2 linked regions of the Lepisosteus oculatus genome follow. The protein of the gene in region 2 interacts with the protein of the main gene of each other region in a biochemical or structural test. Links are inferred from orthologs where the notes say so. Each region holds a gene or a part of one and is shown on either strand. Other genes may lie near its edges.

Region 1 (5,372 bases), on a different chromosome or scaffold from region 2:
TAAAGACACTTCAGGTCGACAGCCGCAGAAGGAGTGCGTTAAATCATCACCACTGTGGCAAATAATACATGATCCCGAGACACGAACAGGCTGTTTTCACAGCAAACCGCCTGAGGGGACACAGCTGGCACACTGCTGCCAGATCACTGACATTTACAAGCATTTCTCTGATTCTATTATTGAGAAATAAAGGTGCCTTATTAAGCATTCACACCCCCCCTAAAAAAAGATTTCAAAGTAAACCATTCAACACAGGTGCTACATTTACACATGCATACAAAACTGAGTTTTATCTCATTCTAGAACCTATAAACCACTCTCGACTAACGGAGACCCATGAGCAAAAAGATCATTTATGAAGAAATTCCCTCTCATCTTTATGAACATAACCGATACCCCAACAGCGTAGCGCCTTGTAGTGACTTCAAGAACTCTGACGCCCCAGTCTGAAACAGCAACAATCTACGTCCGTCACATAACTAGTTATTTCTCACACGCTCCTCATACTGCGAGATTACAGCACCATCCATTTTCTAACTGCTTCATGCAATTCAGGATCGCGGGGGAGCTAGATCCTCTTCTGGCACGCAACAGGCACAGTATACAGTTAACCCTGGAAGGTAAACAGACAAACAGTGCCTCTGGACTGCGGGAGGACACTGGAGTGGCCAGAGGAAACTCGTGTGAACATACAAACTCCACACAGACAGCACACAGAGTTTTCCAGAATTACATCTGGGCATCACAGTGAATTAAGTCCTGATTAAAAAAAAATGTGTAAAAGTTAACCAGAGGTAGGAAATTGTACAACCCCCTCCCAAGTTAACAGAAAGGTAAAAGTACCTGAAATTAAGACTCCCCTAGGTCACGGCAAGGTCACTAAGCTCACCTGTACATTTTACATGCCTGCCTGTTTTTTTTCCCCAGTTGTAATATAATTGGGTGGAATGGTGATCTTGTCATATCTATGGTAACAATGTACACATACAAGAACCCGAGGTGTGGCATCCACAAGCAAGAATATTTGAGAAGCCTTTGTAACCCGGTTCTCTGTGGATGGGCTTGTGCATGGCAAGATGGGAAAACACAATCAAAATGAAGTTTTAAAAAAAAAATAACGAGGTCATCCTGGGATGCCCCCTGCATCTTTCATGACGGACGAATTAAGGACCGCGAGAGTGTTCTGGGCTAAGCTGGTGCAAAGTGCACTATACCAAATCATTCAGCTCCCTTTTTTTTTTTTTGAGGCTGCCGATTTGGGCCTGTGCTTTGCCCACACACACACAAAGCAAACTAGAAGAAGAAAGATCGCTGCAGTTTTAAGACGTTAGCCGACCTCTCTCTTTCAAACAAAGTACTTCAACGCGTCTGGAGTGCCATACACGGCACACGCAAAGAATCCGTTCCTCACTGAGTCACTGCCGACAAGCAAAAGGAGAAGACTTCCTGTGAGAAATGCCATAAGAATCTCCCAAGCATAGAGAATGCTAGCATGTGACCAACCTGCCTTGAGCTCCTGCCAGTTCAGCACTTCCTCTCCCTGACAAGAGCGAGACCTCACCATCTCTCTCCCTGCAGCTGAACACACTCCTTCCCTCTGTGGCCTACTACCTGACACTCACCAGGCACCCCTGAGCTCCTTTAAATGACTTCACGTGAAATGAGGTCAGGAAATTGCGAAAACGGCAGGGGCTTAAAATATCGTTTTTTTTTTACAAATCATGACTCAGCAGTGCATTATCTGCAACATCTCCACCAAACAGCGGCTGACATGCTCACACGGAACGAAGCCAACCGACACCCCTCAAGTGAAAACCTGGTGGCTATGTTTTCAGTTTCCCCACGGCAGATCCTCAAGAGCTCTCACTTCTCCACCTGACCTGGGGGATACACCCCCTCCTGTGTGTGCAAGAGTAAAACACTGAGGTCCTTCAGGGCGAACAGCAGGGGATTCGTGCACACGATTCTTCAGATTTTGTCACCCTCATTCCTAGGTTTTTCACCTTTATCATAATAAAACTCCCCCCATCTTTCAGAATCAGGCAGAAACTGTAGTCTGCTCCAGGATACACAATCCGGGTGACCTCACAGGGGCCTGGATGCCGACAGAAGCAAAACCAAGTAGCTGGAAATCCTTGTAAAACGTGTTTTCAGATCTAACCCTTCTCGGTGGTACATTCGGATCACAATCTGCGGCACACTGAGCATCCGAGAGCCGAAACTCTAGCGGGCTGTCTTCAGGCACGAAAGAACACACCCGATCCTGCTTAGAGATCCCCCAGCTGAAAAACTGAATCAATCGATTTCGAACAGAGATCCAGAAAAATCCAAGAAACCAGGGATAACACTCTTTCTACACCCGTCTCGTCCTGGGCTGTCTTTTGGAAAACCATTCAAAAAGGTGGCCAAGAACGCGTCAGAGCTGTGTAAATTGGTCTTCTGAGTACGGACCATTGAAAACCGGCTTTACAGAGACGACAACACAGCCGAGGCCTAAGAGACCCTCGCATGCAGCGTCTTGCAATAGAAATGCGGCAGAAGGGGGGTAAAACGCTTCTTTTGAACAGTCGTCATTGTCCATTTTATTTGCAGCTCGGCTACGCCTGTCAACACCGTATACCTTAACCGACCCGGGCCTGCTGTCTCAGCTCACCGGGACTGAGGGGCAGCGCAATGCCCTGCAAGCCTAAGAAATCGCCGTCTTCGCCACAATTTCACAAGCACGCATTGATAAGACCGCAGGAGAGGCTCATGAAGCGACACGGACAGCACACCCCCACCCCACATATCTCTCGCATGACAAATCAAAAACATGCTCTGCACCTCCAGCGCCGTGACAGCAGCACCGCTTGAATTCAGATCGCGTTTGCAGAAGGGAGGGGGGGGACGGATATCTGGCCGGCGACCCGGCCGGTGTTGTTGTCACTTCATTACACCCGACGCTGTCACCGTTTAAACTTTAAACCCCTCCCAGCCGGGCCGGGGTTGTGCTGCTGCCCGGCGAGAGCTGCTAGGCCCGGCCCGCCTCCTCCATCAGCACCGGTGTCGCCGCTCCAGCCCCCTGACACAGCACTGGGGGGGACAGGACCCCCAAACGTGCCGCCACGCAGCGGACGAGCGACAGTCCCTGTGCGATGGGCACCGAGAAGCGATAGTCTCGATATTTCAACACCCCCCCTCCCCTCCCCGGTATTCCTCGCCTCTTATTCAAACGGCAAACAAAATATCATGAGACCGACCTCTTCCGGATAGAGAGACACCGAACAAAAGCCACCGGCCAGCGCCGCCCGCAGCCCCGCAAAACGAGCGAAAACAAGAGGGGGGAAAAACCGACACGAAACGTCGACAGTCACCTTCCCGGCGTGCAGAACCCGCCGCCGTGCAGGAATGGAGCGGACGGGCTTGCCGAGCCGGATAATATTCGCGATCTGGGTGTAGTCACCCCCTCCTCCTTCCTGCCTGCCTTTCTCTCCCCCCCCCGACGACAAGGGAGAGATTCTCATCCAGAGGCGACCGCCCGGCTCCGACAGCCGCCGGCGGGGCGGCCCGGAGGTCCGGCCCGGCCCGCTTACCGTGATTCCGAGGGCGGCTGCGTCGACTCGCTCCGGCGCTGTGAAGGGATCCGCAGGGCGATCCTGGGCTGAGGAGTCTGCCGATCCAAGATGGCGGCCCGCGCTGCACAGGGTTTCCTCCGTCACACACAATGGGCCTGGGGGGACAAAGGGCAGCGGCGCGCGCCCGGCGCCCGCGCGAGGCGCGAGGCGCGAGGCCACGGGCCACGGGCCACCGGCCACGGGCGTCCCGTCCCGTCGGCAGCACTGCGGAAGTATCGCCGTGCACGGTGTGCACTCAGCTTCACGGTGACACCGACACGGCACTGTGCTCCTACAGAGGGGAGAGTCCTGTGTCCCGGACTATTCAAAGTAATAATAATAATATGAATCAGTTTCCCTACGGGATCAATCAACTCTTATCTATCTCTATCTCTCTGATGATACAGCGTTTCCCTACGGGATCAATCCACTCTTATCTATCTCTTATCTCTCTAACGACACAGCTTTATTTTCTATAGCGCCTTTGAGGGCTTTACAGGACGGCGCCAACAACAGGTGTGAAGGCGTGTTGGCGGACTTTTTGGAAATGTAAAAACGTGAAATGAAAACTGTGCGCACCTTACTGGCTCTTGACTCTGTTTTGTCAAACGGACGATGTTATTGATATGTTGTATGTACTCTTGTTTGCGTTGTATTTTCTTTCGACTGTATTTCTACTATTAAACCCTATCTTTATCAAAATAAACGACAGTACAAGGACTGGACTTGTATTATTATTGTGGCTTTCACCTTCAGAGGTTTTTTGTAAGTGATGAACATGTAAATTAAATAAATAACGTGAGTTAGTTACTAGATAATATCACAGGAACTCTATTAAAGAGGTGAGACCTTTGTTGTACATTTCAGTAAAATACATGGCAGTGATAATAATATTTCACCTTGTTGACCAGTTTATAAACACTGACACTGTGGTATCACGTATGAACAACTGATTTTATAGTACGCCTCTCAGTCATAAATCTAGTTTCCAGACATGATGGTAATGTGAGAAAGGGCCTCTTTTTCAGAGGATGTGATTGTTTTTCTGAAGTGACTCAAAAGATTGCAGCGTCTGCTCTGGATCAGGGTCTCGTCCGGGTAAGGATGCAGATCTGGCTCCTGCAGGGTGCCTGGGACGCAGGAGCCAGGAGGAAGTGGTCAGAGACATCACAGCTGATCAGAGCTGGGGGTGTGGACCTCGGCGAGGCAGCCCTGCTAACGGACAACAAGCAGGCTGCACATTTCTGCTCTCCCCCGCGGCTGGCTGGGGAGTTTCCCCGATACAAGCTCCTTCTGCTCCACTGCTGCAGCCTGTCGCACCGCCCTGTGAAGCTCAGCGTTGAGCACTGCAGCCTCACAGCCCTGGGTTCAGTTCCCGGGGTGCTGTCTGTGTGGAGTTTGCATGTTCCTCGCTGGTTTGTGTGGGTCTGCTCCAGTTCCCCCCCCACAGCCCAGAGGCATGCTGGCCTGCAGCCTCAGTCCGAGTTTATCCCCAAGGTCAGTCCAGTTAGCAGGTTTGTGTCTGGCAGCTGGCAGCTCACTGTGGCTCAGCAGGTGTGAGTCTGGCCAGTACCTGGAGGGGAGACTCCTGGGAAACACTAAGGCTGCTGCTGGAAGAGGTGTTAGTGGGGCCAGTGGGGGGCGCTCACCCTGCGGTCTGTGTGGGTCCTAATGCCCCAGTATAGTGACGGGGACACCGTACTGTAAATACTTGCAGTCTGTTTCCCTGAGACCCTCCGTGATCATGTCCTCTGACTGCTTGGCCTCCTGTTCTGTGAT
Region 2 (5,372 bases):
ATCGGTGAGGAAGGGCCGAGCTGACCGCCCTCGGGCAGACCGGGCTGGGCAGAGGAGGGTTCTGGCCGGGCTCTCACCTCGCAGGCCGTGCTTGAGGCAGTGCTCCAGCACCACGAAGAACTGCTGCAGGGGGGGGTAGTCCGAGTCGAGGGAGCGGCCCAGGCTCAGCGCCGACTGGATCAGCACCTTCACGCTCAGCTTCATCATGTTCAGCAGGTTGCTCCGCTCCACCGCCAGGGCGTCCCTGCCTGCGGAGGAAAGACCATCGCACACCTCTCACAACGCAGCCCGCTGCGCACAGGGCAAGGAGCCCACAGCTCCTTCTTGACAGTTCATTTATCTTGCTAAGCACTACAGCCTGGTACGAAGACATGTGCTGGTTTGGTTCGTCTCCTGTTCTCCACCCCTCTGCGTTCGCTTCTAATAAAAGAGCAACTGTCATAATAAGAAATAAACATCTGCAAAGAATGAGCTGCACAGAATACAGAGCAGAGTTACTTTCTTCACAGAAATCTTAAGTGGAACTGAAATGTTCAGAGGTCAGCGAGTGACGCACCCTGCACGGGTACAGATACAGTCGCCAGCGTGTGACACATGGGGAGCTGGTTGGTGGCAGTGTCAGAACTGGACTCTCAGTCGCTGCAGGACACGGAAGGAAGGGAACTGCAGATGCCCACCACTTTGAGACGGGAACTGCTGATTTATGGGCGATGGGGAAAAAAAATTCTCCTGACTGAACAGCGTCATACGACCTGAAAATAAAAGCTTCCTATGTGAACTAGATTTCGACAAAACCTCACTTAAGCAATACTGAAATTAAAACCCACACAGAGCTGGCGACACAAATTCTGTAAATATGTGAACCCTCGGAAGGATTGTCTCTTTATACACAGAAATAGTTGTCAGTCAGAAGCAGAAGCATAATCTCATTACTGGGGTCTAGAATGTCAAAGTCCAAAATATAATGAGACATATTATAAAACCAAACAAATAATATTTGTCCCAACACTCATAAGTTTTTAAAGCCTCTCAGTATTGCACAACAAAAACCTCTCCTCTGAACTAAGATGGCTAATCTCCGTTTAGCAGAAGTAGATCACACGTTTCCTGGAAGAAGAACGCAATCTACCGTCTACCAGAGAAAGACATTATTTCTTTTTTTTATCTGAATTTGAAAAGCAAACTGAAAGGAACTAAATTTCATTCATCCATCGGACACATTCCATACTGTTATTCTGTCTCTTTTCTGGTTCTGCTCCAAACTTGCTACAAAGAGATGAAGAACTCAAATACTCGCCATGTTAAGACCTAGAATGGTCTACTACCTCATGATGGGAATCAGTCGCCCCCGTTAACAATGCAGCTACGCGTGTGTGGCTCTGCACCTGTGCAGCTTGAGCTTAACTGGCGAACTGGACGGCCTTCAAGCACGCAGACAGAGCGCAGCACTGGGCCTTTCAAGCTCAGACGTTCTCCCGCAGGCAGATGAGCAACACACCCTTCGTCTCGGGGCTGAGCCGATCACAAGGAGCATCGCCTTTACAAACTCCAGTGTGCGACTCCAGCGGCTCACAACAGCCTTTCACTCTCCACGGTAGTGAGATTCACACCGCTAACCACCCGACACCTCCACATCTGGGGCGTTTAAGGACACAGGGAACAGTCCCTGTCAGCCTTTCAGACCGGAGACGAGCGTCACACTGCAGATCCAGCACACATCCACAGCCATGCTCCGACACTCTGCCAGCACTTCCATTACTTCCAGCCCTTCCCAGCGCAGCTCCTGGCCGCCGGATGAGCCAGCATTGAGGGCGACTGTAGCCTATAGACCTGCGTTTGACTAAACCAGCAGTAGGGACCGTCACCCCGGTTTGAGACCATTAAACCACGTCACTGCAAACGAAAAGGAATTTGCTGGTAGTTCTACTGGGGACTATCTGAAGTCAGAACCACTGCACTGTATGCTCCTCAGCCCTAAACCTGCCAGACTGTCCTGTAAAACGTGCCTGGAAATATCATGGAAAAAGCCTAAAATGAGATCTGGAAAAGAGGAACTGTGACCATCACACGCCCTTGCAGTCACACCTCACTGTGTCATGACTTGAGCAGTGAGCAGCTATGCATGAGCTCCACTGAAACGTCTTTCTTGAAACTGCCCGCACCGGAGCGGTGAGCGTGACTTGATTTCCCGAACACTGGGAAACTTTCAGGACGCATAAAACCGATCGCACCATGTAGGCGTGCGCATTGTTCAGGAGCCTTGAATCCTGAGGTTCCGTTTCGAGAAAAGCGCACTCTGCCCCTGCGTGGCCCGAACACGCGGGGTGCGCGGGCAGGTCCGCGGCTCGTGCCCTCCCAGCGCCACGGCTGCAGACGCGCTGACGTCAACGAGTGAGCTTACCTGCGCAGGTACATCCGGACACACAACAACCGCACGGGCGACGTGCCGAAAACAAGACAGAAGCACAGAAAATCAGAGCAGGGAGCTACTTTACTCCGGCAGGGCAAGCTCCACCACCAAAGTTTCATCGGGTCGGCCAGCTGAAGTTTTTAGCTAGACAGGTGTCCGGCGATTCGGTGCAGTAACTAAAACGCAACTTTCACCGAAGGCGAGCAAGACGCAACGTCTGCGTTTCGCGCACAGAATGAAGCAACAGTTGGGAATACCTGGTTTAGGAGTGTGCCCGTCATTGCTGGCCGGGTGCGGCTTGGATGACAGCACCCCAGCAGCAGACGCGGCCCCTCTCAGAGCGCTGCTGTGGCTGACGGTACTGGACAGGCTCTCCGTCGCCCTCCTGGCCAGCGACAAAATCGGAGCCGACCAGCCGCCGTCCGGCGGGGGCTTCTCTTTCTGCTCCTCCTGAGGGCTGCCGACTGCACTCTCCGGTACACCTTCCAAAACTTCGAAGTCCTCCTTATCCTGGTCCCCCGCTCCGGTGTCAACACACCTGGCGTCTGCCTCCATCTTCAAAACATGTGACGCCAGGCCGAAGCAAACGAGCTAAGGGGAGGGCAGCGAGCAGACCTGAGCAATCGAACCCCGCTGGCTCGTCAGCTGGGGCTGATCCGTGGTCTCGAGAGCTCCGAATTCTGGCTCGCGCTCTGTCGGGTGGGAGCAACTCTCGCGCCTCCGTCTTGGTGGTGGTGGGGGGGGGGGGTTCACACACACGTCACACACACGTCACAAGGTGCAAAAGCACAGATCAATCATCTAATAAACTCATAATAATTCCTGGGGAGGACACAGCCAACAAGATACAAGACACACAGAAAAAAAAACGTCATGTCAAGACATATCGTATGACACAGAGACAATAGGTATGGCAAATGTTAAAGCGCGCATTAAAAAAAGAGAAATAAATTGGGATGTTAAATGAATAAACAAAGATTGCACGAGAAAGTCACCCATGAAGCTATATACTGATCCGAACGGCACAGTTTCAATTTAACACGCAACACAGAAAGTGGGATTAACGACATGTTCCTAATATGCAGAGGTCACTGTGGCTGTGGACATGATTAGGGTATTAGACAAGATTCAGAGAATGCATAGCGACACGGCAACTTAGGTTAAAAATAAAAAGTTAATGGTCAATGACAGCACGTTAGCAAAAACCAAAGACCCCAGGAAAGAGGGCTGAAATAATGGACCTGCTTTAAGACTTGATTCCAGCTGAGAATATTGATGATTGTCTAATAATAGCGGTGTAGAGTTCCAGATTCACCGGCTCTGTACTGTGACCTGTCGCCTCCAGGAGAGGCTCTGTGTTTCTGATGCAAGGTTATTTCCAGTCTGTTGATTGGAACAAGGAAACATATCAGGTAAAGACGGTCCACTAGGCCGCGCAAGAGGACTAAAAATGTCATTAATTTACGCATTAGAGCTGCCCCCTTCTGCCCCGTTATTTTTCTTATATTTAAATAAAATAATTATAAGTGCTTCTGAATATAAGAGTAATCATAATGTGTAAGAACTGTAACAGTAATCATAATGTGTAAGAATCATAGCGTGTGTTTCTTATTTAAATTAATCGATAGATACACGTCAATTTGATGTAGACGTCCCGTCACGCTCCGTGCTCTAACATTAAATACAAGCTGGGAAATTATTCGACGGTGGGAAACCCGCTTCCCGCCACACGGTGGCGCTGTCGGCGCGCCCGCCGCTGCGCGCGTCCCTGGGCGGAAACGTGGTCGGGACGAAGCGCACGTGGGTGGCCCAAGCGCCTGCTTTGCCGCTGTCCCGGGACAGCCGGGCCTTTGCGAAGCTGCTGTGACGTCGAGGACACGGCTTCTGCTTTGCACTTGTCCCCGACTGAGCGTGTGCGCCCCTGTCTACACGCACCCTGAATTCTGCCCCACAGGAGGCTCGCTGGGAAAGCAGGCTGAAGGCAGCAATCACAGTTTACTCATCAAATGCACAACCATACAGCGTGCAGCAGTAGTGTCTTCAAGCCGGCTCCTCGGTGCAAAGACCTGAGCTCTAAACACGCTGCTGTCGGCTGCCCTTAAACTCGGGGAACCTGGCGCCCACGGGTCATCCTCTTCTTGTTCAATTCGCAGCGATGGAAGGGATTGGTCTTCCCGAGTTTTAGTCATCTTTCAGTGCTCTTAGTGTTAAGGGGGGAGATAAACTCGTTTCCTATTTTCTTTAAGAGTCTGTTCCCGATATTCACATTTATAAGCGTCCGCACCCTCTGCGAACACAGACGAGTCGAGGGAAGAATAAACCCTCTTACACGTTGCATCATAATCACAGACTCTGCTTCGTTACCTTTTGACCTTTTCAAATTATATTTCATGCAAATCGTTTAAAAATGATCTGACATTCCCAAGGCTCACCATGAACTGTGGGTCTGTGTTTTGCCAAAGCTAACAACACCAGTGTGTGTTCTTCCGGAAAGGAGTGGAGTGGAGGTGGGCGTGCTCTCGCTATAAATGCGGGCGAGAGCGCCTCTTGGCCAGTCAGTCAGGCTGGGAGAGCGACTCGGTATCTGTGCGAGAGGACTTGCGGGAAGGAGCGGCGCTTGGAATCAGACGGGACTTTAGGAGCTAAAAGCAGGTTACCGACGGAGACGCAGTCGCGTTTTTGGATTACTACCGAGTCTGAAGACATGAAGGTTCTCGCTGCGACAATCTTGGGGCTCTTCTGCGTGGGTAAGTCACCCCAACAAGTTCTCCACTTGGGTTGGTGCTGGGGCGCTTTTCTTCATCGCCTCTTCCTTGACTTGTGTGCCTGTAATGAGCAGCTCCCTCCCGTGTTCCACAGTGACTTAGATGGAGAAAGAGAGTACCCTGCACGGGGCTTGGGTTAGGCACAATGCTCTATTCCGAGAGTGAAATATCACCTCCCAGACGCAAACGCACTCTCG

Evidence for each region. The genes of interacting proteins can lie anywhere in the genome.
Region 1: the proteins of rufy1 (region 2) and ras-related protein Rab-14 form a complex in vitro, tested with the Homo sapiens proteins (2 studies listed by BioGRID). The link is inferred for Lepisosteus oculatus from reciprocal best matches to the Homo sapiens genes RUFY1 and RAB14.

What each region holds. Positions count from the first base shown.
Region 1 is NC_090719.1:14,694,516-14,699,887, forward strand, and holds the start of ras-related protein Rab-14, read right to left. Parts: upstream 3,521-5,372; 5' UTR 3,354-3,520; intron 3,312-3,353; exon of another isoform or gene 3,240-3,311; intron 3,197-3,239; exon of another isoform or gene 2,824-3,196; intron 1-2,823.
Region 2 is NC_090706.1:41,098,136-41,103,507, forward strand, and holds the start of rufy1 (RUN and FYVE domain-containing protein 1), read right to left. Parts: upstream 3,134-5,372; 5' UTR 2,966-3,133; coding exon 2,668-2,965; intron 249-2,667; coding exon 78-248; intron 1-77. Other genes in the region: hbegfa (heparin-binding EGF-like growth factor a), read left to right, coding at 5,115-5,157. UniProt on the Homo sapiens protein: Activating adapter involved in cargo sorting from early/recycling endosomes. Regulates retrieval of proteins from endosomes to the trans-Golgi network through interaction with the dynein-dynactin complex.